4 linked regions of the Rhinolophus ferrumequinum genome follow. The protein of the gene in region 1 purifies or fractionates together with the protein of each later gene. This does not show direct contact. Links are inferred from orthologs where the notes say so. Each region holds a gene or a part of one and is shown in the gene's direction. Other genes may lie near its edges. The genes, in order: RPA2, CDK7, ATRIP and HLTF.

What was found.
Region 2: the proteins of RPA2 (region 1) and CDK7 purify together in Homo sapiens (affinity purification with mass spectrometry; 3 studies listed by BioGRID and IntAct, with this or other methods). This does not show direct contact. The link is inferred for Rhinolophus ferrumequinum from reciprocal best matches to the Homo sapiens genes RPA2 and CDK7.
Region 3: the proteins of RPA2 (region 1) and ATRIP purify together in Homo sapiens (affinity purification with western blotting; 5 studies listed by BioGRID, with this or other methods). This does not show direct contact. The link is inferred for Rhinolophus ferrumequinum from reciprocal best matches to the Homo sapiens genes RPA2 and ATRIP.
Region 4: the proteins of RPA2 (region 1) and HLTF purify together in Homo sapiens (affinity purification with mass spectrometry, with the first as the bait; 3 studies listed by BioGRID). This does not show direct contact. The link is inferred for Rhinolophus ferrumequinum from reciprocal best matches to the Homo sapiens genes RPA2 and HLTF.

Annotation. Positions count from the first base shown.
Region 1 is NC_046292.1:19,148,000-19,155,475, reverse strand, and holds the start of RPA2 (replication protein A 32 kDa subunit), read left to right. Parts: upstream 1-4,370; 5' UTR 4,371-4,577; coding exon 4,578-4,596; intron 4,597-4,861; coding exon 4,862-4,971; intron 4,972-7,476. UniProt on the Homo sapiens protein: As part of the heterotrimeric replication protein A complex (RPA/RP-A), binds and stabilizes single-stranded DNA intermediates that form during DNA replication or upon DNA stress.
Region 2 is NC_046290.1:44,754,653-44,762,554, forward strand, and holds the start of CDK7 (cyclin-dependent kinase 7), read left to right. Parts: upstream 1-4,431; 5' UTR 4,432-4,548; coding exon 4,549-4,614; intron 4,615-4,666; exon of another isoform or gene 4,667-4,785; coding exon of another isoform or gene 4,786-4,824; intron 4,825-4,948; coding exon 4,949-5,008; intron 5,009-7,902. Other genes in the region: MRPS36 (alpha-ketoglutarate dehydrogenase component 4), read left to right, coding at 224-241. UniProt on the Homo sapiens protein: Serine/threonine kinase involved in cell cycle control and in RNA polymerase II-mediated RNA transcription. Cyclin-dependent kinases (CDKs) are activated by the binding to a cyclin and mediate the progression through the cell cycle.
Region 3 is NC_046300.1:7,639,767-7,648,067, reverse strand, and holds the start of ATRIP (ATR-interacting protein), read left to right. Parts: upstream 1-5,263; 5' UTR 5,264-5,373; coding exon 5,374-5,620; intron 5,621-7,481; coding exon 7,482-7,612; intron 7,613-8,230; coding exon 8,231-8,301. UniProt on the Homo sapiens protein: Required for checkpoint signaling after DNA damage. Required for ATR expression, possibly by stabilizing the protein.
Region 4 is NC_046285.1:8,263,976-8,272,447, reverse strand, and holds the start of HLTF (helicase-like transcription factor), read left to right. Parts: upstream 1-5,227; 5' UTR 5,228-5,420; coding exon 5,421-5,440; intron 5,441-6,603; coding exon 6,604-6,811; intron 6,812-8,472. UniProt on the Homo sapiens protein: Has both helicase and E3 ubiquitin ligase activities. Possesses intrinsic ATP-dependent nucleosome-remodeling activity; This activity may be required for transcriptional activation or repression of specific target promoters.

The DNA of each region.
Region 1 (7,476 bases):
TTTATTAGCTATAAGTTTAATAAAATGAGCATTAAACAAATAATTGTGGGTGTTCTGCCACATATAAAGCCTCTCTGATACTAAAATAATTCTATCAGTATTAACCAATTCATAATTATTACTAGAAAAATAAAATCAGTACAATATAAAGCTGAAAATTGCTACTCCACCCAGTAAAATTCTTAGACAAAAAACAATTTGGAAAACCACATTTTACATATAACACTGAAAACTGCAAAAAAATCCCCTGAATCAAATTGTACTTGATAGAAATAATGAGGATCCATAAAACTACAGTGGCAGATGTGAAAAATCAGTAAAAATTAGTATGGATAAAATTTGGGTGATGAATTAAACCCTCATTGTATAGTTTGCCCAGGAAAAGATTGATCTACATAAAGATGATTTCAGCAAAATTTAAAATGGGAAAAATTAGAAATGGCTAACTCTCACTGTACAAAAAAATTGAATAGGGAATCCAATATAAATGAAATTTCATCAATGTTGGGACAGTTCTGATTAAAATGTGTGTGTTTATAAAGTGGAGGCAAATTGACCTTGGAGGTTAAAATGGCAGTCAAAAACTTTGGGAGATAATGTATATTAAGCTTTTAGAAGAGATAATGCATTCTGGCATGTATTAAGTAAACACCAAAGTGGTTAAAAAATTTTTTTCATTGTGTTAAAATACAAATAATATTTTACCGTTTTAACCATTTTTAAGTGTACAGTTCAATGGCATTAGCTACATTCATGTTGTTGGGCAACCATGACCACTATCTGTCTCCAGAACGGTCCTTCCCAAACAGAAACTCTGTGTCCATTAAACAATAACTCCCTATTCTTCCCTCTCTCCAGCATCTGGCAACCGTTGTTCTACGCTGTTCTACTTTCTGTCCCTGTAAACTTGACTTTTTTTTTTTTTTAAGATTTTTATTGGGGAAGGGGAACAGGACTTTATTGGGGAACAGTGTATACTTCCAGGCCTGTTTTCCAAGTCAAGTTGTTGTCCTTTCAATCTTAGTTGTGGAGGGTGCCATTCAGCTTCAAGTTGTTGTCCTTTCAGTCTTAGTTGTGGAGGACGCAGCTCAGCTCCAGGTCCAGTTGCCGCTGCTAGTTGCAGGGGGCACAGCCCACCATCCCTTGCAGGAGTTGAACCCGCAACCTTGTGGTTGAGAGGATGCGCTCCAACCAACTGAGCCATCCAGGAGCTCAGCGGCAGCTCAGCTCAAGGTGCCGTGTTCAATCTTAGTTGCAGGGGGCGCTGCCCACCATCCCTTGAGGGAGTCGAGGAATCAAACTGGCAACCTTGTGGTTGAGAGCCCACTGGCCCATGTGGGTATCGAACCGGCAGCCTTCCGAGTTAGGAGCATGGAGCTCTAACCGCCTGAGCCACCGGGCCGGCCCTAAATTTGACTATTTTAAGGTACCTCATATAAATGGAATCATATAATATTTGTCCTCTTATGACTGGCTTATTTCATTTGCATATCTTCAAGGTTTATCTATATTGTAGCATGTATTAGAATTTCCTTCTTTTTTAAGGCTGAATAATTCCATTGTATGTCCATCCCACATTTTGTTTATCCATTCATGTGTCAATGGATACTTGGGTTGCTTCCACCTTTTGTCTAATTCTGCCATGAACATGGGTGTATAAGCGTCTATTTTGAATAAAGCTGCCATGAACGTGGGTATACAAGCATCTATTTTGAGTCCCTGTTTCCATCTTTGGGATATATGCTGCTGGATCATATGGTGATTCTATTTCTATTGTTTGAGGAATTGCCATACTGTTTTCCATAGTCGCTGCACCATTTTACATTCTAACAGTGCACAGGGTTCCAATTTCTCCACATCCTCACCAATATTTGCTGTTATCTATTTTTTTAAAAAGCAAAAGTATCTTTATTCAATAAAGATCTACTCCAAAAGCAGAGCAGAGGTGGCCTCCGAGCAAGAGACAACCTGGTGTTTTCTATTTCTATGTAATTATGGCCATCCTAATGGGTGTGTGTCACCAGATTGGTTTTTTGGTTTTCTTTTTGTTTTTAACAGGACTTTATTGGGGAACAGTGTGTACTTCCAGGACTTTTCCAAGTCAATTTGTTGTCCTTTCAATCTTAGTTGTGGAGGGCCCAGTTCAGCTGCATCCAGTTGCTGTTGTTAGTTGCAGGGGGGCGCAGCCCACCATCCCTTGTGGGAGTCGAACTGGCAACCTTGTGATTGAGAGCCTGCACCCCAACCGAGCTATCTGGCCACCTGGGAGCGGAGCGGCAGCTCATTGACTTCATTCTAGTTGCGAAGGGCACAGCTTGCTGGCCCCTGTGGGAATCGAACCGGCAGCCCCATTGCCCAGAGCTCATGCTCTAACCAACTGAGCCACCCGTCCGCCCCACCAGATTGTTTTTAAAGGATGATTTCTCCATTTCTCAGTCTTGCTGTGGATTTCCCTGATTGTAGCCTACCTAAAGAGGGAAATGGAAGACTTCTTGGAAATTGCTATGTGACAGGAAGCTTGCAACTTGACAAAACTAAACCTTGAGAGATGAATTCACTAACACACACACACACAAACACACACACGAGTTTTTTATTTTATTTTTATTTTATTTTTATATTTTTATTATATAAAAATTATATATTATATATAATATAATATATAATTTATTATATATTTATATTTAATTTTTATTTTATTTTTATTTTAGCACTGATTGAGAACTGAGCCCTCAATTTATCAGTTTTTCAAGCTCTTGAAAAGATGTGCAAAACTCTTTGATGGTTTGTATTCTGTTATACTTTAAGACATTTTAATTTCATTTTATTTTTAAATGTATGGTCTTCACAGTTGAAGTTGAAGTTATAACTGGTTAAACCCCAAATAAGGCCAATTGACTCAAGTGAATACACATCTTGAATGTCCCAGAATAATCTTAATTTCAAACATTTTATCCTATATATCATAAATATGCCCTTACTTGTCAGAGTATGTAAGTTTCAATCACCTTAGGCTTAATATAAGAATGTCTTTTTGGTATACCTCAGGTTTTATTCCTCAGCAATGATTTGGAGGCTTACAGAATTTACAAAGTAACATCTGGCCCACAGATATCTTTTCTTTGGCCTACATAATGTTTTTTTAATAGTTGATTTGTTTAAAAACACTTATTTGTTTAAAAACACAGAAAATTTTACACAAAAATTCAAATTTCTGACATCTGCTAAAACAAATAGATGATCTGGCAACACTAGATCCATAGTCTTTATGTCAGTTGCTATTTACCATTATGCTTGTGTGGTTATTTTTCTTACTGTGGAGAAAAAAAAGTTTTTTAAATTGTCGTCTATTATCCAACCCACTACATTAGCAGTTTTCCTGCCTGACCCCAGTTGTCATCTGAGTTTGTTTAGGATGTTCAAAAAGGTATAATAACGACACTGGTTGACAAAATCAGACTTCCTGGGCTTGAATGCAGGCTCCCAAAACTTAGACTTTCTATACCTCAGTTTCCTTAACTGTAAAATGGGGACAATACACTAACCTACTTCACAGGACTGAATTAATAAATATAAAATGCTTAAGACAGTGACTGAAGTTTTAATAAATAAAAAATAAAACAGTCCAGAAGCCCAGGGACCCGGTCTACCTTAACCATTGGCCAGTACAGAGCTTAGAACAAAAGAGACATCAAATAATTTTAAATAAATGAGAAGAGTATGTCTAACACCCTATTAGTATTTACAGCAAGGAACTAACAGACATGTTCTACTCTCCATAGGAGGAGCACAACCGCATTATATGAAGAATAGTTGAAGCAACCCAGGATGCGGAGCTAGATTAGAGTCAGGACAGGTGGGATGAACCCAGTCCTCAGTTTTTGAAAGGCCATCGTGGGGAAAAGAATGTAGATTTCTTATACCTTCACTGGGAAGAATCAGGGCCACGGGGTGGCAATACAAGAAGAGAACTTGACTCTTTACGTTAAAGAATAAGCAATCCCACGAGGTGCTGCGAAACTACGTAGTACTGTGAATTACCCGTGTGCGCAAATCCCGGGCGACCGCCAGGCGGAGACATCGAACCAGGAATTGTACTATGACGTTTTAGACCAAGGCGTCTTGAAAATTTGGCGGGAAACCCCCGAATAAAGTGACGTAAGATGCCGCTTATTGATGGGGGTGGGATTATATGGTCCTGAGATGAGGAAGTATTGTTGGATTGGTTGTTTTTTTGAGATACTGCCTCATCAGCATCCAAGGATCCTTGCTTCCGCTTGCGCGAAGTGTTTTGCCCTTAGTCAACATGGCCGTGAAGGCTTCTGGCCCTACTGGGAGCGTAGTGCCTGTATTCAGTAACATGGCCAGCGAAGAACGGAAAAAGCGTAATATTAGCGAGCTTTGATTGGCTGAAGCAAGAAGACTTCTGGACACTGATTGGCTCCGTCATTCGCGGGAAGGTGTCTGTGGCGCCAGCGAAAAGTAGATACAGCGCTGGGGCCGCAGTAAGATTCTGAGGCGTCCGGCGAAGCCAGCCGACCTGAGCTTTCTGGGCCTTTTTCGAAGAAATTGTGACCATGATGTGGAATAGTAATGATGAGTGGGGCGGAGGATGAGAATCGCAACAATTTAGCAAAGAGGGCTGGGGGGTCGGAGAGGCATGTGGCGGCGGGAGGGAGGAGAGTTGGGGGAGGTGCTGGAGCCAGAGGTGGGGCCGTTTGGGGGCCTGGGAAAGGTGGTCGGGAAGATTAGGAAGATGCTGGGACTGTTTGGGGTGCGGGGATTGAGGTCTCAGGGGACCCGTGGGTTTTTCAGGAGCTTGGAAAGCAGCCCAGATACTAATACTACTGTTATTTAAAACCAGGTGGATATGAAAGCTATGGCAGCTCTACCTTTGGGGGAGCCGGCGGCTACACACAGTCCGCTGGGGGCTTTGGATCGCCGACACCTTCTCAGGCAGAAAAGAAATCAGTAAGTTGAAAGAGTATTTTATTTTATCTGTCCTAAAGCTCATAACTCATCCATGGGAGAACATTTCTGCGGCGAAGGAAGGGTATTAAACCTGAGCTGATCCGATAATTATCTATTACTATCTTATCGAGTCTTATAATTAAATGCTGTAAGTTTGAAATAGGAATCTCCCCTAATGTTGCATCCGCTATTGTTTCCTTGGCTTTATTTTGAAATTTTACCAAGATAGCTAATGAATCAGTTTTGTAGAAAAACTGAACTTGTATTAATAGCCTAATTTATGTTCTATGTTTTCCAAAGTCGTTTTTTAATTAAACGTAGTGAGGTGATTTAATGTGGTGGAAAGAGCATGGTCTTTGAAGTCAAGTCATATATAGATCTATGCTCTCTACCACTACTTGCAGGGTATCATTGGACAAATTTCTTAACTTTCTTGGAAGTCAGTTTTGCACCTACTACATGGGATTGATAATACATGCTTTACAAGGTTGTTGCGAGACTTAATATTATATATAAAGTGCTTGCCCCAAGTCCCTTTCAATAAATGGTCCTAGGTACTATTTGTGACCAAGATGTGGAATAGTAATGATGCCTGGGGTGGAGGATGAGAATCGCAACAATTTAGCAAAGAAAGCTGGGGGGGGTCAGAGTTGGGGGAGGTGCCAGAGCCAGAGGTGAACCTGAGCATTGGAGCCAGAATACATAATGTCAGGAATCACCTTTGCCTTTTAACTGGCAATGTGAGTTTAGTGTAGCAACATGAACCCTTGGTTTTGTTGGTCCTTGGGTTTTTTTCATCTGATAATGGTACTAGTATTACTTATGTCACAGGGTGGTTCTGAGAATTGATAAATAAGCTAATGTATAAGAAAGTATTCTGTAAAAAGCTGTCCAAATGCTTGTTATTTACTCTCCCCCCCCCTTTCTTCCGCCTCCCCACACGCACACACTCCGGTTCAAGCCGTAGTTTTCTAGTTCTAGTTGTGAAGGACACAGCTCCCTGGCCCATGCTGGTATTATGAGCCTGGCGCTCCCCGGGCTGAGCCACTCACAGCAGCTCTCGTTGGCCACCAGTCACTCACTCTGGCTGCTGGTCACTCATGCTGGCCACTGGCTGCTCATGGCAGCACACAGTAGCTCACAGCAGCTTACACCCACCTCTGGCTGCTCACAGCAGCCCAGCTGCAGGGAGAGCTGTCTCCAGGGAGAGCTGTTGTTCACAATCTTAGCTGTAGAGGGCGCAGCTCACTGGCCCATGTAGGAATTAAACTGGTGATCTTGGTGTTTGGAGCAGGGCACTCCAACCACCTGAGCCACCAGGACGGTCCTATTTACTCTTTCAGAAAAGAGTTTGCAATTAACAACTGTTGATTTCATTCTTTAAATACAGGATTAATTTGGCTTCTCTTTAGGTGTCATTCTGATGTGTTAAGATTCAGTATTAGCAGGTTCTGTGTTTTGTGTACAGGTTGATAAGCTTTTACATAAACTGTTAATTCAGGGGTAGGTATAGTTGGGAAAGAATCCACTGATAATTCTCATACATTTGGATATTGCTTTATACTTTTCATATAAATTATTTCATATAACCCAATAAGGTATTGTTTCCTCCATTGTACAACAGAGAGGCTCAGGGAGATTGAGATTCCCTAAGCTTACATAGTAAGTAACTGGAACCAGACAGTGCCCACAGGGCGCTGAGCAAATCCAAAATCTGGTAAGCAGCTGCTTCTCTGTTGTAGCTTTCTTTTTCCTGGGAAGACCAGAGGAGACTATAGTCTTCTTTGAGGCTGTGAAGATGAGAACAGAAGATAGATAATTCTCATCTTTTTTCCCTAAGCTTCACTATTTTTCTTCATTCCATTTGTTAGAATTTTTATCTCAGGACCCCTAGCTTGGGCTATGTACTAAGACAGCTTTTCAGAGAATGATGACAGTTATAAGCTGGAGACTCAAACTCAGGTCTTTCTGTGTTTAAAATCTAGTGCTTTTTGCACAGTAAAAGATAAATGTCCTATTTAAATGTTTCCTACTGACTATAAACCTGTTATATTTGATTGAATTCTGAAGTTTCTGATGTTTTACCTGTAAAAATGGTAGGTTCCTACAGTACTTCAGAGTACAGTACTTCACAGTAGTAGTTCATAGGCAGCTACAAAATAATTTTTTAAAAATTAAATGTAACTTGTGCCGAATCTCTTTGGAACAAACCAGGAGCTCTTTTCAATCGGTTCCTGGCACATAATAGGTGCTCATTTAAAAAAAAACAAATAACTGTAACTTGAGATGAATTTGAAGGTATTACTGACACCTCAATAATTACCCATATGTAACTTTTTTACCTGAGGAGTAATAATATTTTTTGCACCTGTGTAGAGATTGGTATTAGCACTTTTATGTATATGTTTCATTTATAACTTGAAAGGTAGATATCCTCATTTTACAGAGGAGGTAGGTGATGGTATGTCCTGGGCCGTGAAGCTGGGATTTGAACACAGGTCTATA
Region 2 (7,902 bases), on another chromosome or scaffold:
AAATTTGAGGACCACTGATCTAGGTCAACCGTGAGTCCCTTCCAGATCTGAAATTGTTTATAACATTGATGTGAGTGCACAAAAGCAATGAAAAAATCCAAAATTGTTTTTAAAAACTAAAAATCATTTGCTTAAAATAATGTAAATTTGTATAGTGGCCATGAAAACATTTCTTCTGTAAATTTAACCCCTAATCTTACTGTTTTATTGTTTTTCCTTTCAGCGTGGAGGTCCAGAATAATCACTGACAATGTGGCTGCTGTTTGTCATCAGACAAAAGAATAGTCTTTACAATAAAGGATTTCCAAAATGACAAATGAGAAATTGTACATTAAACAACTTTAATAAATATTCTGTAAAAGAAAAAAAAGAAATATAGAAAATTTAGATAGACACTTGTATCTCCTAATTTATGTATGTTGGTCAGCTTCTCCACAAGCTTACCTAATTGTTTATATACTTTATACTTATTAAAGTACACATTTTTAAATATTAACCTATTAATTTACTCTTGATTATCAAGTATTACCAGTTGTTGAACTATTAAAAGCACACAATGTCTAGTAAACTATCATAGGTTTAGCATAATTTCATTTTCTTTCAGTTTCTGTTTAGACATGGAAAGAATTTATCAGGCAGAATTGCTGCTTTTGAAAAGTGATTTTCCTGAAATTACATGAGGATCAGTGAAATAATGACTCCATTATTTGTTCTTAATTCTTAACATTTTTTCGTTCACAAAGTTACTGGAGTATAACTGGCTTTTAGTAAGCATATCCTACTCTAAATGATAAAAATATAGCCAAGGTAAAACCAGTGACCTTGTGGTATTAAGACTGGGAAGTTAACACAAAAGATTATTTGTAACCTATATTCATGTCAGAGTATAAAATGGAAAATAAGAGATCAAAGTGAAAATAGCATAGGAATAAATGTTTGACTGAAAATTGCAATTTATTGTTTTAGGGGTGTTAAGAAGTCTTGTTCTTTAGTTTATTGTACTGTTTTGATTATGATCATGTATGAAAATCCTGATAACCATTAACTTTCTCAAACCTGTTGTCTGAAAGTCTCATAAAATCAACCTAACTAGTTAGCCTTGTTACGGCAATTTATGAAACTTTAAAAGGGTCTTCCTGTGCCAACGGCATATATTATTGTGAAAGAAAAGCCTCAAAAAGCTAAATAAATTCTCTTCTATACCTTTAATGATTTCTAGAATATGCTTTAAAGAAGTCATCCCTAATAATTAGGGTAGCTCATGAGCAATAGACAAGTAGAATTACTGAGTCTATTTTGCCCATTTTGAGTACTTTGCCCATTTGCGTCTGGGTTAATCTTTACTTTTTTTTACTATTTCAGAGTTGGTCTGCTTCTCTTGTGACCTAGTATAAATGTTGCCCTACTCAAATATAAGATAGGGGATTGGTGCTAGGAATAAGCTGTTCTGGTGAGTCATGAAAAATACGTGATTCATGATTTATTTTTATTATTCAAAAATTTTATTTAGAAAATTTTCTTAAAAACTAGCACTAGTCTTTCCTTTCCTTAGCTCTTGCATTTCAGTAAAAGGAAGCCCAGAGCAATTTTTTTGCTTTCAGAAACAGTGGGTTCAAGTGATAGTGGCTTGAGTAATACTGTGGACCAGCATTTAGAAACCCCAATACTGGAACTTTCTGAGGTCTACCTTTACTATAGCTGCTGCCATGAAACTCACAATGAAAAAATGTATCATTTTTACAGAATTTGTAAGTCTAGGTATGGCAAAAGGGCATGCCAGTGGAAATTGCTGTCACAGAATGAGCTCCCAAGGAGGATGGTGTCATAGAATTGTGGCTTGGCTTAGAGTAAGTAGGCTGTATTTTCATTTTTGGGTTAAGCACTTAAATGTACGTAATCATTAACAAATGGCTTTGTTTGTCCAAGTTTAGGTTTTCCTCTCCAGTGCTATACAGTGTGTGACAGATAGGATCAAATTAGTATATTGTCTATGACTTTGTAATACATCACCCAAAACTCAGTGGCTAAAGACAACAATACCTTATGGTTTCTCTGGATCAGGAATTCTTGGGCAGGTTGGCTGGGCACCTCTGCTCAGTATGTCTCGTGAGGTTGCAATCAGATGCTGTCTGGGGCTGCACTTATGTGTAGGCTTGACTGGGGCTGGGTGATCTACCTCCCAGGTGGCTCACTAACATGGCTGCCAAGCTGATGCTAGTTTATGGCAGGAGGCCTCTCCATAGGGCTGCCTGGGTGAATGTATAACATGATGGCTCACTTCCCCCAAAGCAAATCATCTAAGTGTACAAGGCAGAAGCAGCAAGGCCTTTTATGATCTAGACTCAGAAGTTAGACACACTCACTTCTGCCATATTCTATTGGTCACACTTAGACTCTTTAATTGTGGGAGGAAACAAGTGCATTAATACCAGAAAGCAAGAATAATTGCAGCCATCGTGGAAGCTGGCTACGACCAGTGTGTGAAATTGCTTTGTAAACTAAAATGCTATACAGATGCTGAATGGTATTTTATATGTACAATGACTTAATGAACCCAGAAAATCACCTAAACACCTTTGTTACCCTATTTTAAGTATCCCCATATAGGAATTTACTTCTCACCAGCATGGTATAATATAGTGATTATGAATTTATATGCCGTGGCACACTTGGGAACCTCAAGCCTCACAGGTGTACCATCAAATTTAGCTCACTATTTAGCTTATTTCTACTACAAGTGAGGTTAAGTTATTACAGTGCTCTTTCAGAAGGAACTTTAGCCTAAGTCAGACATGTATCGTTAAGTATGACTTGCCACAATTATGATAGAAGTGGTAAAAATGTGTTTTCTGCAATGTAGAAGAATTTTGCTTGTGAATATATCAGAGCTCGATAAAGACCCAAGTAGTGACAAAGCTGGAAGGTAACCACGAATAATTATGTAATAGCTAACATAAATTGAGCACTGTCAGACATTTTTCTAAGGGTTTTTGAAGTGTGAAGTCATTTAAGCCTTGCAGCAACCCAATGAGTAGGTCCTATTCGAGAAGGAAGCTGGGGACAAAGTGTAATTATCCCAAGTCATAAATCTAATACTTGGGTCAGTAGTCAATGGAGATCATCTAGATCCAGAGCAAGGACTCAACCTTCACACTATATTACCTTGACTAAATTATGAGCCTTGGTATTGTTTTTGCCTTCTTCAACATACCTCTGAAAATCAGGATCTCGACTCAAACATCAAATGGTCTAGCACAAAACCTTGGAATTATGCTTTCCAACTCCCCAACCCATATCCAGTCTGTCAGCAAATCCTATTGGCTAGAAGCCAAAACTGGTACCCCCTAATAAAACCCTCTTGATTACTGCCATAATTCTTTAAGTGGCTTTCTTGCTTTTCCTCGCCTCCCCCCTACCCCCAAGTCTATGGTATAGTCAGTCTCTCACAACAGCCAGAGTTAACATTTTAAAACATGATATCATATATCATTTGCTCAAAATTCTGCAGTGGCTTTTCAGTGATGTCTTCCTTGGCTCACCCTATTTAAAACTGCAAACCCTAGTATCTTCTCTTCCCCTGCTTTATTATCTCTATAGCACGTATCGCTATGATCATAACATTTTACTTATTTGTTATGTACTCTTGTTTGAATGCAGGAATCTCTTTTTTCCTGCTGATTTCTCAGTATACAACAAAGTGGCACATAGTAAGCAATCAATAAATACTGAATAAATGAATTGTGTTTGATTTGGATGCAAATCTTATGAGAATCAAAATTTGAGAACTGATCACTGTTAACACTTAATAAGCACTTACTATATATCCAAACTCTGCATGTCTCATTTAAGCCTCACAACAGCCTATGATGTATGTGGTCTATTATTATTTCCACGTTACAGAGTAAAAAACTGATGACCAGAAGTCTGTTCCACAGCACAAAACTCTAAAGTTGACTTGGATTTTGTTTGCCTAGGCGTGCTTTTTCATAAAGAGACTAGACTAAGAGACTAGACTAAGTAAGAATGCCTCTTGAGCAGCTCTTAACAACTGGGCGCGCTCTAAGTAACCTGAGATTGCCGGGCTAGGCGTCCATAGTAACGGTGCGACAGAACCCTTTAGCGTGAACCAGACAGAGAAATCAGGTGGACCAACCCTATCATACTCATACATACCTATCAAATCCCGAACTCAGAACATCATAGAACGCTGACCGGTCCCCGGTAGTGAAGAAAATACATAAGTTAAAACGGTAAAAAAGTGACACAGGTTAACCACCATCGAAAACTCCCCACTTCCGGTACCAACGGGCGATCACGTGACAGGGCGGGGAGCGGCGCGGAAAAGCCAACGATCCCTGCCTTCCATTGGGTGGGCTCGGGCGGGACTTATTTAATAGCAGCCACGCCTATCCCGGAAGTGGGGGCGGAGCTAACAAAGCGTCGGAGCCTAGTGAACGGAAGTGACTGTTGGAGGCTTTAAGGTAGCTTTAAATTCCTGCTGTTTTGGGCGCTCGCCCTTTTCAGCTGGAGTCGGGATTCGCGTGACAGATGGCTGTGGACGTGAAGTCGCGAGCAAAGCGTTACGAAAAATTGGACTTCCTCGGGGAGGGCCAGGTGAGGCTATCGGGGACTCGGCGGTGCTGAGCGGAGACCACGGAGCCGCCTCACACCTTCACAGGTTTTCTCTGGCCTGGCTACTCGTTCTCTTTGGCCAAGGCTGCCCAGAGGCAGCTGTTGCCCCTCCATACCCTGGAGATGAGCCCTGAGCGGCCTTCTCCTTTCTGAATGATAGAGAGGAACGGGACGTGGACAGAACAACTGCCTGTACGTTTCAAGCCGCCGAAAGTCCGCTGCAAGAACCCTGGGTTCTTTGCTTCCCAAAATCTAAAGTAAAAAGGCAAACACGAAAAATTGCCACAAACTTACGTTATTTCTCTTTTTTCTCCAGTTTGCCACGGTTTACAAGGCCAGAGACAAGAACACCAACCAAATAGTCGCCATTAAGAAAGTGAGTTACAGGGTTTGGTTTTTTTTATTTGAGTCTCTTAAGAAGTAGATGTGTGCGCTGGTGGATGGCCGTTTTACTAATCTTGACCATGTTCTACTAATGAATTACTTATGTCATTTTCATAGGAAGAATAATTTATTAGTGTCCTGTGTTCCAAAATGGAGCTCGAATTGAACTATTCTTTTCTATTAATTGAAATGAAAAGGAAACAGTATGTTATGTTTGCTTTATTCGACTCAGTCTTTGGCAAAGGGGATGAGTACTGCCAATCTGCTGGGTCCTCAAACTATTTAATATCATGATCTTCCCTATTTCTGCCTCACCTGCATCCACTCTATGTATCTGTCATATCTGTATTTTCTGTGTACAGATTTATCATGAAAGGCTTTCACCAACATGAACAACATTGATGTGCATGCATTTTTAAAAATGATTTAAGTAGCTTTTTTATTTGCATTCATTCAAGAAACTTAGGCCGTATTTAGCTAACTTTATGTGCCAGGCACTTTCACCTACATTTTTTCATTTAACCCTCAAAACAGCCTTGCGGAAATAGGTAAAGTAAATGTCTCTGTTTTACACTTCAGGTACCTGAGGCTGAGAGAGGACTGTGTTTCCCCGAAAATAAGACCTAGCCGGACCATCAGCTCTACCGCGTCTTTTGGAGCAAAAATTAATGTAAGACCCAGTATTATGTTATATTGTATTATATTATACCCGGTCTTATACCGGGTCTTATATTAATTTTTGCTCACAAAGACTCATTAGAGCTGAAGGTCTTATTTTCGGGAAAAAACGGTAGGTGACTTTCAAGATGATACAGATGGTTAGTAATTGTTAAAGCTAGGATTTAAGTCCTGCTGCCAGGTTGATTGCCCTTTCCCATACTACAAAAATCAATAACCCGGGCCAGCCCGGTGGCTCAGGCGGTTGGAACTCTGTGCTCCTAAAGCCAAAGGCTGCCGGTTCGATTCCCACATGGGCCAGTGGGCTCTCAACCACAAGGTTGCCAGTTCAACTGCTGGACTCCCACAGGGGATGGTGGTCTCTGCCCCCTGCAACTAACTACAGCAACTGGACCTGGTGCTGAACTTCGCCCTCTACAACTAAGATTGAAAGGACAATAACTTGACTTGGAGAAAGTCCTGGAAGTACACAATGTTCCCCAATAAAGTCCTGTTCCCCTTCCCCAATAAAATCTTAAAAAAAAAAAAAAAAAAAAAATCAATAACCCTCTCAAGGAAAGGCTGTTTTTCTCACATCTCAAGGCCTATTGGTGAAGTAGGGGACTTCCACCTTTGTATTGCTACTTTGTTCCTGTTGCTACTTTGAATCTGTTTCTTCTTCAAAATCCCTAACTCCTTTGAAGCATATCTACCTCATTCATTTAACACTAATACCCTCTCTTCCTTGGCACAATTATTCCTGCCATTATCATCTTCTTTACTTTTCCTGACTTACCTCGTTTTCCATTTTATGTTCTGTAACCCAGCACTATAGCTACTCCTTTGTAAAACCCTTAATTCTCCCCACAGTTTTTATTTCTCTCTTTTTTAAATCTCCCAACCCTTTCTAAAGTTATCTTTTCAGTTCTATTCCCGGTAGGCTGTATTCTAGCCAACTGACCTTTTTGTTTCTTGAACACTTTAAATTCATTCCAATTCCAGGATCATTGCATTTGCTCTGCCTTCTGGCTAATACATTTTTCCTCTAAAACTTGGCATGGCTGATTCCTTATTTAGATTTCACTCAAATATCTCCTCCACCTAGAAGCTTTTGCTGCTCACTCTAGCTAAAAGAGGCATGCCTCCATCCTTCCCTAGGGTTCTTTGCCATATTTCTCTATCTTCATAGCATTTATCAAAATCTGAAATCCTCTTATTTATACATTTATTGTTTGTTTACTTCCATTCGAATTATCTTTAGAACTATGGCTAGTACATTTGTAGACACTCATTAGAAATGTATTGACTTCACTGAAGGATATAATCTTTTCAAACTGTTGGCATATTGAGTTTTACCAGTTGTCTCAAAGTCCTAGTGGGTTTTGTTTGCTTGCTTGCTTGCTTTAAACATAAATTAGGATAGAATCCATCCTGTTTCTCTGGACTAGACTTTTACTCCTTGAAGGTGACTCAGTGAAACCCAAGATTCCTGATTGAATGTATGGTTTTGATTTAATATGTAGCCCCGGCACTCTATTCGGTTTCTTCATAGCATGTCCTGTAAGCCGTAGCCCTTTCCCTTACTAGTCATTAACCCCCTGAGGCAGCCAGAAATAGTAGGCATACCTTGACTAAAAATCACAAGGTATGGGTTTCTGTTGAGTTAAAGATAATATCGACTTAAGTTATGTTTCAGCTTCTGAGAGCCCTAAAGGTTTGGAACAACCCCCTGGCTACTTTTCTGTGAAACTAGACAGAGATGCCAGAGCATATATATAATGAGGAAGCAGAGAGACATCAGAGCTGTCCTCAAGACTTGAAGAAATGATTTCTTACCTTACCTCACCTCTTACCAGTCAGCTTTCAACATGACTCTGAACCCCTAACCCAGTGTCTTGTGATTTTGCCCTATATAGTCTGTAACCTGCACACCATCAGGGTTTTTGAGCATTAGCTTCCTAATCTCCTGGGTGGTGCCATTCATAATAAAATAGCCAGTCTTTCTCCACTGCAGTTCTCTGTGTTTAGTGTTTTGTCCACCTGATGCTAGCAGAGCCAGCTTTTTCTGTTCGATAACAATAGTGCAATCGCCTTTTACGTTTAATTTTTATTTCAAATAATACATCTTTTTGGTTTGAAAAGGCAATTAGTAGGGCAAGGCTTTTTAACATGCCTGACTCCTACCCCTAGTTTTCACTCTTCAGAGCAATCACTTTCAACTCTTACAAC
Region 3 (8,301 bases), on another chromosome or scaffold:
TTTGCCCGCGCACCGTCCCAGGTCTGGTGCTTTCTGGTTGAGCACCCCTCCTGGCTTCCGGAGCCTCCCCTGGCAGGACGACTCCCTAACCCTCACCCCGTACCTGGCCAGCCTAGCGCCGGAGCTGCAGCCCCAACCGAGCCCCCGCCACTCAATTGATCTCTGAGACTTTAGCGCCCTCCTCCAGAGGGCCACTTCCGGCAGCGCGAGCCCAGCTTCCTGACTAGGAGCCAATCAGCTGGCCCGCGTGGAGGTGTAGGTTCAGGGGAGGGACCCGGAGCTCCGCTTCCGGTGGCAGGGTCTGGGGAAGGGGCGGCAGGCGCCATGTCCGGCCGCGAAGGTGAGTGTGAGGGGGTGGCCGGGCGAAGTGACGGGACCCGGTGGGGGCCGGGCTGAGCGTGATCATGTCGCCCATAGGTGGCAAGAAGAAGCCCCTGAAGCAGCCCAAGAAGCAGGCCAAGGAGATGGACGAGGTAAGGGCGGCGCGGAGGCGTGGGCGGGCGCGGAGGGGCTGGGAAGCCCGCCTGGAGTGAACCCGCTCTGCTTCTCCCTAGGATGAGAAGGCATTCAAGCAGAAGCAAAAAGAGGAGCAGAAGAAACTCGAGGAGTTAAAAGCGAAGGCCGCGGGGAAGGGCCCCCTGGGTAAGTGAGGGCTAGGCAGAGCCCAGGCCCTACGAATGTTCTGAGCAGCTGTGGACGCGGCCCGGGGAGGTCCGTTTCCGGCCTGGTTGGTGAGTGGCCAGGTCTCCGTTCTTGGTGTCCGTCGCCGCTGATGGCCGTGGCCAGGCTTGGATTCGCCGCAGCGGCAAGGGACGGGAGCTAGACCGGGTCTGGAAACGAAGTCTGCCGCCCAGGCAGTCTGGGCTTCCCTTCCTTGGGGAAAAGGCAGAAATGGAAACTCAGAAACTCATATATCTTAGGCATATTTCATACAGTTGGGTTTCCAAATATCCTCCACAATTTCTTGCCCCAAAGTCATATTTCATTGCTTTTTAACTACTATTGTTAACGCTAGTGAATACTTTTGCATCTTGAGTCTTTTCTGGATGCGCCTAGACTAAAATGTCCAGGTTTCTTGGCAAGCTATTATGCTATATGCTTTTTTTAAACTTCATACCCCACCGTTCCGCCTCTTCTTTTCCTTTATGTAAGAGAAATTGATTACATACCAAAAGATTTTTCAAGCCCATTAGTCCCGGTGTTTTCTGTGTTTTGTAAATGCTGTTCACATTCATCAAACTAGTGATTAGTCCCCCCCAGTTATGTATCCCCTATTGAATCACTGTGAGCTACAAGGGGGGATGATGGAGGCTGGGGTGATGGGAGTGTCATCCAGGGCTTCCCAAGACCTCTTTTCTCAGTGGGTTTGATTCATTATTTATCCACACGGCCCTGGGAATTCTAGCAATTGAGATTCCGTTCTGGAATGATGTGCTGAGGTATCTTGCACTTTCCCGGTTGTGTATAGGAGGTCAGTCCTCAGTGAAATCCTATACGACTTGTTTCCACTGAACGTCATCTGATTTTTTTTTTAAGGTTTATTTCGTCACAGCCCTTTAGGATCTTCATTCCTCTATTAGGCATACTTAATTCTACAACTATTTTTTCAGTTACCTACTGTGTGCCAAATTATATAGTCATTTGTAAATTGGGTGAAATAAAGGTATTGAGTAAACCAGACTCCAGAAACATAATATGGAAGGTACTGTGGTGTGATGTCGCAGTTAAGAATATGGACTTGGAAGTCAGACTACCCAGGCTGGAATCCTGGCTTCATCACATACCAGTTTATGACTGAACACCTTAACACTAAGACTTCATTATCTGTAAAATGGGTCGATAGGGGATGAGGATTAAATAAGCCAGTCTGAAGTACACAACACAGTGCAGATCCAGACCAGTGTGCAGCCATTTCTTGTGCCCCTGCCTCATCCTCATTCTACTTTTGCCCAGAATAGAAAATATTGGTAAAGCTCTGTATATACTTATGTTAAAAAGAAAGCTCAGTAGAGAGCTTAAGGCTTCCATATCAGGCCCTGGGGCTTCTACCATAGGAACTGTATTTTTCCCTAGCTGAAACTTTTTTTTCTTTGCAGCCACAGGTGGAATTAAGAAATCTGGCAAAAAGTGAGCTGTTCCTTGTGCCTGGGGCAATGATGATCCTTAATTCCATTCCAGTCTTAACATTTGGATTCCCTGCCATAAGACCTGTTGCCACCTGTAGCTAGAATGAAGTGTTGTTTTGGAGTCTGTTGTACATTTAAGAATAAACTTTTGTAAAAAATAATAATAATAATGCAGTGGCTCATCTGTTTAGTTCTTCTCACTCAGCCATTTCAACCTTAGCTGTGAGGTCAGAGGAAACCCAACCCAGAATCCTAAATGTGTTCTTCAGTCTTTGTTCTATCCCGAATTCTGTACTGCCTGGAATTAAACCAACTAATTTGAAATGGCTGTCGTTTTTGTGTAGTTGTATACCCGACGGAGCTTTACATAAGGTTAGTGGAAGAATTTGCCCTTTGGAAAGAAAACCCATCTTTCTCTGTTAAGACGTCCACGTTGCCATTTGTTTTAATGGGGTAGTTCATCTGTTCATGTAAGGAGTCTGCTGTTTGCAGGCTGGGCTTGTACCAGCAAACAGTTACTGTTGTCAAGAAACTTCTCCATAGTGGGAGGGGAGCAGGACAAGTCCACACGATATGCATTGTAAAGGCAAGAAAACGGGAAGGGAGATTCCTGAAAGTCTTGAAGAACCAAGCTTACTCTGAAGTCCCCAGGTCTGCATTTCCACTAGGACTCCAGAAATATCCTTCCTAGGTTCTTGTGTCTTATACCCCACATTCAACTCATCAGGAAAATTAAATCTGATCCCTTCATACTTACTACAATACCCCCCCAATTGTAACCCTAAAATCTCTCACCTGGATTACTGCAGGCACACCCAAATTTCTCTTCCTGCTCCTACCCTTGCTCCCCTACAGTCTAACCTTCACTCAAGACCCAAAGTGATCTTGCTAAACAGTGAAGTTATACTTCATTTTCTCCTTGGCTCAGAATTCTTCAATGACTTCTTAGAGCAAAAGCCAGAGTCCCTACAATGACCAGTGAGGTCCTAAGGGACCTGAACACCACTCCCTGCCCTTTGGTATCTACAATTGTGTCCCTTGATCCATCTTGAGCCGCAATGGCCTACATTCCAAGCAAGCTCCTGCCTTATTGGGCTGTCACCAACTCTTTATACCTGTCACTCTTCTGGATACTGGAAAGTCCCTCCCTCCCTTTAGAAAAATGAAACATCATAATAGTGAGCTTTTCCCTGACCACTATAAAGGAGCAGTCCCAGTGTCTCTTACCCTGTTTTCATTTTTCTCTCCTGACATTTGTTATCACCCTTGACTCTGGGAGGAGTAAATTCCTAGATGACAGAGGCCATTCATGTGTGCCAAATGCATATGTATTGAAACAATTCAGAGGCATAAATATTTGGATTTCCCCTCCAGAACCCTTGATACAACTATGGGAATAATACTAATACCGTGTTGCCCCGAAAATAAGACCTAGCCGGACAATCAGCAATAATGCATCTTTTTGGAGCAAAAATTAATATAAGACCTGGTCTTATTTTACTATGAGACCAGGTCTTATATATAATTACTTATAGTAAAATAAGACCGGGTCTTAATTTTTGCTCCAAAAGACGTATTAGAGCTGATTGTCCGGCTAGGTCTTATTTTCGGGGAAACGGTAGTGCTAAGCTTTCTTTGAGAATGTTCTTAAAAAGGACTCTAGAATTACTCAGATTTTGCTAAGTCAAAACTGGAAAAGGTTTTGACAGATTGAAGCCTGTTTTAAGACTAATGTACTTGATATTAATGGGGGAAAAAGAGCAAAAGCCTGCTTTGGTCCTCTCCTGGAAAGTGGCACAGCCAGCAGCATCTTTGGACTTGATGCATTCCCTGTGGGACCTTGCCAGCTGGCACCCAGCCCTGTGCTACTGAGAACAACCTTGGGAGCCAGCACACTGCCCCTGAGAGTGAAACCTAAAGTCTCCTGACAAATCAAGTGCAGTCCTATCTCTACAGGACCAGACACCTGCAGCAATTAAGACTTAAGGATTCGATATTTGGGAAACTATCTGAAGGTAACTAGCAATTACTTTAAATAACTCAGTACACCTGAAATTAAAATTACATTGAATGTCAACGGCAACTGAAATAATTTTTTAAAAAACATCTAAACTCAGATATTCAAGACCCTCTGGATGCTGACAACCATCTCCTTTTCACTTACTGCTTTCACAAATATTCATAGGACATTCACAGGCTGTTTGGCATTGAGCATGAAAGGATGAAAGTCTTGCCGGTTACTCTCCAACACCCTGTTCCCGTTAACTGTCCTGCACACCACTGCTGCCCAATAAAATCTTGCCAGGCACTCAAGCCCACTTTGAATCTTTGCTCCTCTGAAGCCTTAAGTTCTCTGCCATAGATAACGCCTAACGGGCACTTGTATGGCCTCCATTTTGGTATTGTATGCTTGTCTGCCTAGTCTTGTGGGCCAGCCTCCTTGCTCACTCTGATAACTCCCACTCAACCTGTAGGACAGCCCAAGGGCCTTCCTTGACATGAACCTCATTCATTTCTATGTTACCAGCACTTGGGTAAAACACTCAAGTGCTCTCAGACAAATGAATGAATAACGTTAACGGACTGAGGAGTTACACAGGCACCTTTTCAGGATCACCCTTCCTTAGACTTTCTTCCCACACCTACCTCAAATGCACACATTCAAAACATCTACTGTTCTCAAACATGTCTGCTCACAACAGTTCTATTCATACTCTTCTGCCAACCCCACTCTCCCGGACTTCTCCCCAAGAGAACCTGGAGTATGTGAGGGGTGGGTCCGACCGAGGACAACGAGGTTACAGAGACCAAACCCCTAAAGGCTGGCTGCCTCGATTCACATGCGCACGTGTGAATGCCATGGCGAACTCCTCCGGCGTGTACTCCACGATATGCCGGGAAGGAGGCGCACAGCCACTCGCACGGTGGGGCTGGTGAGCCGGAACCCGCACTGCTATAGCTTAGATAGGCCGCACAGAGCTCCGGGAGCCGACCTACTGAGTCCCAGCAGCGAGTACAGAGAGGCCCGAGGCGCCCGAGAAGGGTAAGTACTCAGCGGAGCACCGCGGCGCGCTCGGATGTGTGTCATTGCTCCGCGCCCGCCAGCTGGCAGCTGATTGGCCCGTGGACACGGGGGCGTGGCCCCAGCGCCTGAGGCGAGCGGCGGCGCGCGGGAGTTTGTCCAGTTCTTCGGCTTTGCGGCAACCAGGCCGCGCTCGATCCCTTCAGACACTTGCCGGCAGCAGGCATGGCTGGAACCGCCGCGCCGGGCAGCAGGAGGCGGAGCGGGCCCCCGACACCTAGCTCTGGCCCGCTGCCCAGCACCGGGCATCCTCCGAGCAAGCGGGCCCGCGGCTTCCCCGTGGCCGCAGCCCTGGACCCCGAAGATCCGTTCGGTCCGCACGGGGATTTCACCGCGGACGACCTGGAGGAACTCGACACCCTCGCGTCACAGGCCCTGAGCCAATGCCCGTCCGCTGCTCGGGACGTGTCCAGTGAGTGCGCCCAGGGCTCTTTCCCGAGGGTGGTGCAGACTTTGCCAGACACCCTTGAGGGCTGTGGCTTCGGAACCCCACGGCGACCGCTGTCTTGCACCCACACCGCCTCTTCACCTTTTAAAAATATAGGAACAGCTTGATTTAAGCAGCGGTTGTGTTCTGATTTGGGGAGAGATGGATCAGGAATGTCAAACAACCGATTTGAAATATAGAAAGTTAGGTTAACATTTTACTTTAGTTTTTGAAGTTAGGGTCACCAGGTTCTTAGTTCTAAGCAGAGATCCTGCTTAGGACTCCCACCATCAGAACCATCACTACCTTCGCAGGGAGACCCATTCTTGTGGCAGTCTGGGAAGGTTTTAGATCTAATGAAGACCGCTGTCCCTCTTGAGCCTCATGAGCTTAAGAGGGTCTGGCAGAGGCAAGAGAGGAAAGAAACTTATTATTTTATACAACCAATAAATTGTACCAGGTGCCCAAACCTTAAAAATGGCAGCACACTTAGCAATGAGCAACAGACTAAAGTCCCTTCCTTCATGGAGCTTGCATTCTAGTTGGAGAATGAGTGACATCTTGTGGAGCTCACAAAAAGAGAAAGTTCTTGAGAGCAACTTGCATCTGTACTTGGATGTCTCACAGGCTTCTTAAATTCCACACAATTGTTTCCTGGAAACCCACTCATCCTCCAGCATCTCCAGCATGGTGCCTGGAAAAGCAGACATTCAGAAAACACCCGTTGATGACCAAATGTTTCACATGACACTGACTAGCACCACTCCCCATCAAGTGGCACAAGGCGACAGCTCCCTTTCCTTGACTATACGTCGAATTCCTTTCCAAACCCTCTAACTTTACTTTCTTAATCTATCTTGGAATCCATTCTCTTTGCATCGTCTCTACCATCTCCCTGATCTGTTACCATCACCCCTCCCCTGGACAATAGTCTGCTAAATTGTCTTCCCAGGTCCAGTCTTGAGTCCCTACAAATCAGACTTCCCACCACAGCCAGAGTGATTTGTTTTGAAAAGATCAGTGTGTCTCACACAGATAAGCATGAGCATCCCTACTGAAAGCCCTTTAATGACTTCCCATGGTTTCTAGTATAAAGATCAAAACCCTTATGTGGCCTGCAAGGCCCAGCATAGTCTGTCACTTCCCCTCTTTCTCTCTGGGTTTTAGCCACCCTGACCTTTCGTTCCTTGAATTCTCCCTGCTTCTTTATAATACAGAAGCTTTGCACATTGCTGTTTCTTGTATATTGAGTGTTCTTTCCATCTATTCCCCATCCCCACTCATCTGGTTAATTCCTACTTGTTCTTCAGCTTTTGGTTCAATCATCATCACTTCCTTAGCCTTCCAATCATTCAGTTGGATCAAATTCCCCTATCATAGGCTTTCCTGTATTTGTTCTCTGCAGTTCTCATCACAGTTGTAATTTTACATTTATACATGCGTGATTATTTTTTTAATGTCCTGTAAGCTCCACAAGCAAAAAGATAATCCATTTTGCTCACCATTGTACCTTTAGAGACTAAATCATGCCTGGCATATTACAGGTGCTCAGTAAATATTGCTGAATGTAAATCGCTGAGTTCTGACTAGGGAGATTCCCACAGTGCCTTTCAGCCTTTAGATGAGACTCTTAAAATTGGGTGGGGTATGGGGAGAGGGTGGCAGGATCTATTATTTTATAAGGATCATTTATGAGTTTGAATCATGTTCTTAGATTAGAAAAGTTCCTATATTGCTTACTACATCTTTCTCTAATTTGCCTTCAAGAGGGATTCTTTTCAGCATTGTCTGGTAAAAGTGGGAAAATGTTGGGTCCTGAAAAGTATGTGGGAACGTTTTTTTATAGGTGTTTATAAGGTTCCCAGATTAGATGGAATGTCAAAAAATCCTGCAGTGAAAAACAGAGAAAGTGTTCCAGTTAAAGCTAATTTTGAATTGGAGTTACTTCAAGCACAATACAAAGAACTTAAAGAAAAGGTAAGTGACTTAACTTGTGGTTTTTATAACTAATTCATTCACTTATGCATACATTGTACAATAAAATATATAAAACTTTTAAAACTAGAGTCCAGATTCATCCCCATGAAATGGGAGGAGGGGGAGGCTGGGGAAAGAAAGCCAGAAAATTGAGGCGGAAAGAAACTAAATCCTGAGATTACTAACAGCCAAGGCAGGAAAGGAAACACTGTACACCAGTTCCAAAAAGAGATACAAACTTTCTGTTTTAGCACCAAGATAAATTTATAGCATATTTCTTATATAAAGGATACAGCGTCATAATGGTTGCTATGCATTAGCAGTTTTGCAAAAAAGCAGACATCCTTCATATAACCAAACTGGGTCACTGGGTAAACCAGGAGCATAATGTGGAATTTTAGTTCTGTAAAGTGTGTGACCCAGATTATTTAAGACCTATAAAGCCTACAGAACCTGCTTGCATGAGTGACAAGTGTGTCATTAAGCTGTCTTGCTGAATAACTGCTGTCCCACGAAGGAGCCTAGCAGACCACGGTGATGACTGGCTGGTATGGATATATTTTGAGCACTCACTGGTCTGTAGGACGTGTTTTACATGGGCTTTTTCCATCTCTCCAGGTACATGTTGAAACAAGTACATATATAATTTTCCCTTACAAACTTTTCACAAGATTGATTTGGGATTTACA
Region 4 (8,472 bases), on another chromosome or scaffold:
AGCTGTGTTGCCTTTAGCTTGCTGACCTAGGTCATCATTGCTGTCATGTTCATTTGGGGGTACATCTAATCTTACTTCTCTTTGATCTAATATCTTATCCCAAAGTATTTGAGAAATGGAAATTTTATTTGCAAATATTATAAAATTAGCAATTCAAGCAGGATATTATGTTCTGATCCTAAAACTTCAATCTGTTTATGAATTTAAGTCTCTTGAAACTTCTATTAGATCAAGAGATTAAATTCCTCTAAAAATCTATTTGTATGCTTTTTTTTTCCTTCAAATTTGAGAAATGTGTTTGGTTTTTTGCAGTTTTTTTTTTAAAAAAACTTTCTAGAGGACTATTTGAAATGGTAAGTTAAACCTTAATTTTAAGGTTAGCATGGGTATGCTTATAGGCTGCAATGGTTTCGTAAGTTGTGATGACTAAAAACTGAATTGCCAATACAATATAGCTACCCACATGAAAAAAAAAAAGAAATAGTAGTTCTGATAGTATCAAAAGTATAGAGTTGCAATTTTGCCTTTAAATTTTCTAGCCATAAAGGAGGCAGAAAAATATTCACCAATCCATTCATATTTATTAAAACAAAAAGAGCCTTGACCACAGTCATGTCAAGAACCGTAAATAATTCCATGGCCCAGAGAAACACTTTCCTGCAGCTGGGAAACGGCTCCTCGGCAGGAAGCAAAGGAAGGGGCAGATGCTTCAGCAACTCTGGTCTTCTGCCACATGGGAGGAACACTTAGTGAGCCAAGGACTAAAGGAGGAAGAAAGGACTATCTCCTGGGAAAGGCCTGTGTAATCTGGAACACCACAGAATTCTCAGAGTGGGAGTTGAAACAATTCAGTTTGTTTCAAGGACATGTACCTGGGAAAATGACTAGCTTCTGGAAACAATGTTATTCTGGTATTTAGGAGTAACCCTGTTGATGAGCACCAGGAAATGAGCCTCAATCAACTGTATTCCTTGTATAGTGTTAGAAGACTCATTAGATACTAACTGTTACAACAATAATAGGAATGATAACAACATTTATTGATTGCTTACTACAAACCAGGCACTGATAGTCATTACGTTATTTAAGAAGAATTTTATTTGGCATTTATTTTACATTACTTCCTTTGTCCTATCAGCTGTGGTTGTATCCAGGAATCTGCCCCTGATTAAGTGTAAGAAAATCCAATTGTAAATAAGTCACAAAAGATTTTATTTTCTGTCATGTCCTTTGCCTTGTCTTCTTTGATTATTTTTAAAAATGGTTCAGAAATAATATCATACCAATGTTAATTTCCTAAGTTTGGTAATTGTACTATGATTATGTATGGTGTTAAAATAAATGGGATAAAAAAAATGAGGGAAATTTTTGCAAACTACATTTGCAACTTTTCTATAAGTCTAAAATTAATTGAAAACAGAAAATTGGAAAACATCATTTCTTTACTATAATTTATTTTATCTTCTACTATTTTCTTACAGCAAAATGCAAAACTGTTCAATGTAGAGAACATTTTACGTGCATATAAGCAAAAAGAAGAAAATGAAAATCCCCTAATTTGGCTAGCTAAAAATATCTGCTATAAATATCTAGGTGTAAATTCAGATATATGTGTATATGGAGGTATAGCATGTATTAATTTCAATCACCAATTCCATTTGCAAAGATAAAACTTTATATTTCTTTATTGAACCTAATTTGTCTTAAGGCTTCAGTTTGCCTAGTGGGAGGTAACTTAATATAATCACTTTCCAGGTAGTTCACTCATTTTAAGCTTTATTTTTATTTTTATTTATTTATTTATTTTATTTATTGGGGGTGACATTGGTTAGTAAAATTATATAGGTTTGAAGTGTACATTTTTATAATACATCATCTATATGTTGCATCGTGTGTTCAACACCCAGAGTCAGTTCTCCTTACATCAACATATATTTGACCCCCTTTTCTCTCTTCTACCACCCACCCTTACCCTTCCATATTTATTAACCACTAAACTGTTGTCTGTGTCTATATGAGTTTTTATTTCTGTTTGTTTGTTATGTTCCTTTGTTGATTTTGGTTCTATATCCCACCATTTTAAGATTTAAAGTCAATTAAATTCGGGTTTCAAATTCAGTCCCTTTTTTCTTACCCTTTAGGGGGCTTATATTTGGACTCTGTTCATCTCAGGGTACCAACCTCCCTTCTAGAACCTCCCTTCACTAGAACTATGAATTATGAAAGCCTCCAGCTTTCACAGAGCTGGAGACTCTCTGGGGACTTTTGTAGGATTTTGAAAGGCTACCCTTGGATCCCTTAATACAGTCACCACACTGTCCTTTATTCCTTTACTGCCCTAGCACGTTTCTGGACTCTGAGGGTCTCTCTAAGATCTGCAGAATTTTGAGGATACTCCCTGAAAAACGAGGCACAGTTCTCTTTTCTTAAGAGATCTCCAGAAACTTTGCTAGGCTGTCTGTTTATCATCCCTCCTTTGGGGCACTCAGCCCAAGGTGTTGGCATTCCAGTCTCTTTTCCTAAGATCCACGTAGAGATTTACTTTGTGAAAATTCTCCTCCATTGAACTTTGTCTCTGTCTCCTTTTGGGTGAAGGAAGCAACCAAACAAACGACCTTATAGCATCATATATTCTTCTAGAATCTATGATTTAGGACATAAACTTGGAAGTTTTTGTATTGAAGTCACACTTTCAGAAATTCAGGTTCTTAGGTGGTTTTTTTTTTTTTTATTTGCCAAGGACTTCAACATTCTATTTTGTTAACAAACTATAAAAGAATATTTTTTGAGACAACTGTGAAAATTTAATTATGAACTAGCTATTAGAAGACACCAAAGATTAATTTATTATTAATTTTGTTAGGTGTGAAAATGGCCTTATGGTTATATATGAAAATATTCATAATTTTTAGAGACATTAGTGGAGGCCATTATAGGCAGGGTGGATTGTGAAGTGATAGGAGTGGGAGGTAGGGGACAGATTATAAAGAGTCACATATACCATTTTAAAATTTCATGTTCACAGCATAAAATAGGGGAGTAACATGATTAATTTGTATAAAATAGGGGAGGATGAGAAAGAGTATTTGGAACTGGGAGGTGGGTAGCTAGAGGAATTTTTTTATACCTTCCCCATAGTCAGCACCCATATACAATTCCATCAGTAGATCCTATTGGCTCTCTTAGTTTTATCACCTCTCCATTCCAAGCCACCATCATCTCTTACCTGGACACAATCATTTCCTAATTATCAACTAAGCGGTCTTTCTGTTTCTGTTTTTGTTCCCTATAATCCATTCTCCACAGAGCTACCAGAGTGAGTTTTCAAAAGTCTAATTCAGATTGTCATTCTCCTGCTTAAAATAGTCAATGGCTTTCTGCTGCATTTAAAATAAAATACAAACTCTACCATAGACCATACATTTCGATGTAATCTGGCGATTATCTTCCTCACCATTCTCTTGGTGCCGTTCTCCAAGTCCTTAAACATCAGCCAATGCACAAGCCACACACAGTTCCCATTCTTTTTTTGTTACAAATGTTATCTAGTGTGATAGTTTGGAATTTGTAACTGTTATAACATTTTAATCAAACTATTACAAATTGTACTTCAATCTAAAAAAATAAATGATTATGTGAAAAGGAGTGTTCAACAGCTATGTTTGAGATGTAAAATAGTGACAAGATGGACAAAAATGTTGACTTTAAATAGCAAATTTTTATGTCATTCAACCTTTATTCTTTAATAATGGGACATTTTTAATTGTTTAATAGTGGGACATAGGTCTGAAGTCTTGAAAGAGGTTTGCATGTATTTTCACATTTGGAATTTTATCTTTCAGTCTAATTAGCCTGGCTTTATTAATTTTACACACAAAACATTTTCAATCTGGGTATTTTCTGGCATATTTTCCAAGAACTTATTTGGAATCTGGCACACAAAACATTGAACTATATTGTCCTTTGCCTCATTAATACTTCCAGAGGAAAGTAAAATAATTAAAATAATTTGAAATATCACTGTCTTCATCTTCCTTCTGTTTAACGAAATGAATAAATTGCTGCAAATGTGATTTCTCATTCCACTGCTGGTTCATGTTTACAGATCATGCCAGTTTAAGATAATGAACAAATGCCTCTTGAAAACCTGTTTTATAGACCACCGCTCATACTCTGACAGAAGTGTAAATTGGACCCCTCTATGAAAGGCAAGTGACAAAATGATCACTTTCACAAATACATTTCCTCTCTGATTCTGCAATTCTCTTTTGCCAGTGACCCCAAGCCCTAAGTGCAGTTCCACGCCACCGCCACCACCAGCTTCCAAGGCTGGTGCTGCTGCTGCACCAGTGTAAGGCCTGGTGAGTCAGCAGCAGCCTCTGCTTGGCTACGAAGGCTCAGAGACAGGCCCTGCCAACCCACCCAAAGCCCAGTTCTCCTGAGTCACCTCAGACTCTCAAAAGGCGGACCCCAAGCGCCTCAGGGCGCCCCTACAGTTCCCCAGGAAAACAAGCTTCTGCCCACCTCGGTGGGGCAGCCACATGCCTCAGGGGAAGCTGGTCCCGCCCCGTCACCAACAAAGTCAGTCGCGCTGTCATCGCATTTTGTGGCTTTTCTCTACTAGAAACGAATATTTTCCTTAAAAAAAAAAGAGATGGAGGGGGTACTCCGTAAGTCTAAATTCTAATTAAGCGCTTATGAACTCGGTGTGTCTCATAGATTCATCAGCGGGGTTTAAAATGAATATTTTGAAGGCAAACTACACGGGGTTAAGCACAGGAAGTGAAAGTATGTGGCTGGTACCTCCAAGGTTCGTGAATGGCAGAGTTTATTCAGTGGAAGACCCTATTACATGTAATATCAGATAAGAAGAAAATTAGAGGTAGGACGAGATAGGGCCTGAAGAATGGGTCTGAGGCTTAGGGCTTGAGGGAAACAGCGGAAAGGAGAGTCATCTTCCTCTTTTGAGACAGAGAATCAATCCGATACCACCGGCACCGCAGTGAGGTTGCTAGGGCCGCGTGGCTTTCCCGCGCGCCCGCCTTGGGGGCGGGGAAGAACCCGGATGGACCCGCCCCAGCAGCCGGGACCCAGCCCATAGTCTTTGAATCGCTGCGCGGGGCGGAGTTGCCCTCCCTTCCGTGCCCTGATTGGTTCGTGTTCACAGGCCCCTCCTCGTGATTGAACGTTCCCAGTGCCAGTCAGAAAGCGTCAGTGAGCTCTCAGATTGTTGCTAGAAGGAGACGGCGTCGACGTCTGACTAGACTCGCGGTGTCTTACCTTCCAGCAGCGCTCTCTTCCACCCGCGCTCCCAAGGTGTCTCTGGCTTCTCCGCTGCAGGCCCTGGAAGGAGACGTATCAAGGCGGCTCGAGAACGATCCCGGACGCCCAAGCGTTCTCCTTGTCACCCACGCAGCGCCATGTCCTGGATGTTCAAGAGGTGATGTGGGTGGAGGGGGTGGGGCGCAACGGGTAATGGCCTGGAGGCGTCCCCAGATGAACCTGACCTTCCCTGCGTACCTTTCTCGTTCCCCGTGCGATTTGTGCAGCTTGTATTCGTTTTGGTGGTGGCTCATATGTCCGCGGGAGAAATAAAGGCATAATCTTGGTTGGCATGGGGAGAATCCTCAGGCGAGTCGGGTGCTAGGGCCTTAGAGAAATCTCTGTCAAGGGCTGGGGGTGGGGAGAAGGGCTTGGGGCGCAAAGCTCCACTCCTTAGGCATCTTGACTTGTGCTTATTCCACGAGACACCTAGTAGATACCCACTGTGCACTAGGCATTGTGCTCCGAATAAAGGGCCGAGTAAGACATCCCTTGTCCCCAAGTAGTGCTGTTTATGTGCATGCACAGACGTGCAAATATATATTTGCAGAGGAGCCAGAAGAGGTATGTATGCTCGACATACAAGGAAGACGCAAGGGAAATACCTTCTATCTGTTCTTAGGAGAAACTTCCTAGACACCCCCCCGCAGTGGGACTACCCCTTACTTTTCAGTATCCAAATTGTTTCACATGCCCGTTCCTGAAACAATTATCCATAAAGGGATTGTGATTACCCTTAAACCTACCGGAGTGGGAAGGTTGGAGTCAACCTTCCATGATGGCATGGTTTGAATACCTGAATAAAATAAGGGTTGTCTTCGGAAGGAATTAAAGTAATGGATGTTGGATGTATTATCTGTAAGGATGGAAATGGCTTCACATATGATAATAGTTCTGTATGTGTAAGTCTCTTCTAGCTCAGTTATTGACATTTTGGCATATAATTAATGTTACGAACATCATATTCATTTCCATTTAAATAGATGATCACTAGGAAAGAGATTGTGAACACTTATTGGGGTTTTCATTTTGAATACCCGTGGGTAGAAGAGGCATTGCTGAACAGGTAGGATTCCCGGAAAACTCCCTTCTTCCCTCCTCCTCTCCCTCCCTCCAATCCCTGCTTTAACCAGAGTAACTCTCTATTAATCTTATACAGCAGTTCCCACATAAGATTTAATTTGTTGAAATAAAGTGTGAGAAAACAATTAGCCTATAAATATGGTACGGTCTTTGAGAAATACTTGGTTACATTTTTTTATTGTTTGTTTGTTTTGATAGAGATCCTGTTTGGAAGTACTTGCAGACTGTCCAGTACGGAGTCCAGGGAAATTTTCCACGCCTCTCATATCCAACTTTCTTTCCCCGTTTTGAATTCCAAGATATTATCCCTCCAGACGACTTCCTAACTAGTGATGAAGAGCTAGACTCAATTTTATTTGGAACTTTGAGAGGTCATGTAGTTGGACTACGCTATTACACAGGAGTAGTGAGTATAACATTAGATAGTTAAAATGTGGTGTATTTATGGTATTAACCTAGAAAATAAGAATTAGGTGATATATGTGCAGTTAATTTTTTTACTCGAAGTAATTGAAATATATCTGGGCAGAGATAACAAATATCTAATGACTAATATTCTTTTACATTTATACACACTTACAATATACAAAGCAGTTTTTTCCATGTGGTCTCATTTGATCACTACATTGACTCTGAGGTAGATAGGACATTATCCCATTCCTATAACTGAAGAACTGAAGCTCAGGAAGGATAAATAACTTTCCCAAAAAGCACAGATACTGTGTTGTACATTAGCAAAATGACTGCCAAGTCAGTCCATTGCTTTCTCCTGTTCTGCCCCTCAGCACATTTCTACACTTTAATATTTTTAAGTTAGGAATGTCAACTCCTATTAGATAAGGGAATTGTCTAATTTTAGGTCTTTTTTCTTTGAAGTAAGACTGTTTGTATCCCAGTTTTTCTTACTGTGTCTATCCTTATCTCTAGTCTCTGCATTGTGTCTACATGAGAGAGATGGACAGACAGAGCTAGAGAATATATGATTTTTTCTGCTAGTAGTTGTCTTTATTATGGTTGTCTAGTCTACCTCTGTTATCTAGATGATATACCCTTAGTTTTACTTTTTAAATTGATTATGAAGAATATCAAACATGCATAAAAGTAGAATAATACAATGAACTAAATATACCCATGATTCAGATTCAGCAGTTAACAAATCTTGTGCACATTTGTTTCATCACTTTTTTACTTTTGTACTAAAAATCCCAACTGTGTCACTTTATACTCATAATTCAGTATGCATCTCAAAAAATTCATTTTCTTACATGTCATTTTCATACTTAACAAAATTAATAGTAATTTCTTATTACATCTAATAACTAACCCATAATCAATTTTCTTGATTATTTAAAAATGTATTTTTATAGTTCCTTTTTTCAAATCTGAATCAAAATAAAGTTCATATATTATCTTTGATTGTTATGGCTCGTAAGTCAATCCCACCCTCCCTTTGTTTCATGTCGATTTGTGGAAGAAACTACATCTGTTCTGTGGAAGGTTCTAGATATGCCACTTCTTTTATTCCCTCATATTTACTTATGTTGAAGTTACTCAAATCATTTTTTGGTTGTCCGAAGCATGTTCTGCAGGAGATTCTTTGGGAAAGAATTCCATGATCTGGATTTGTCTATACTTTCATTCTTCTATGTATATATATTTTTTATTTCGGAGCTTCTATGATCATTTTGTGATTGGAAAGGTGTTGAAATGTGTTGTTTAGGAGATTCTTTAGGAAGGAACAATATTTCCTGACATTTTGTATATTCGTAGTTGTGATGTTTATACTTGAGTATAAACTTGGGGTGTTTATACTTGTGATGTTTGGCTGAATATAAGATCCTTGACCCATATTTTCTGTCATGATATCTTGATGTTGCATAAAGTGTTGCTGGTGGAATTCTGATGGCAATATGATTTATTTTCTATATAAATGAATTGCAGTTTTTTTACCTGGATAACTAAAAGATATTTTTCCTTATATTGGAAGTCCAATAGTTTCACTAAGGTATGTCTTAGTGTTGACTGTAATACAAGTTTTTCTTCTATTTCAGAAAATTTTCTTTAATT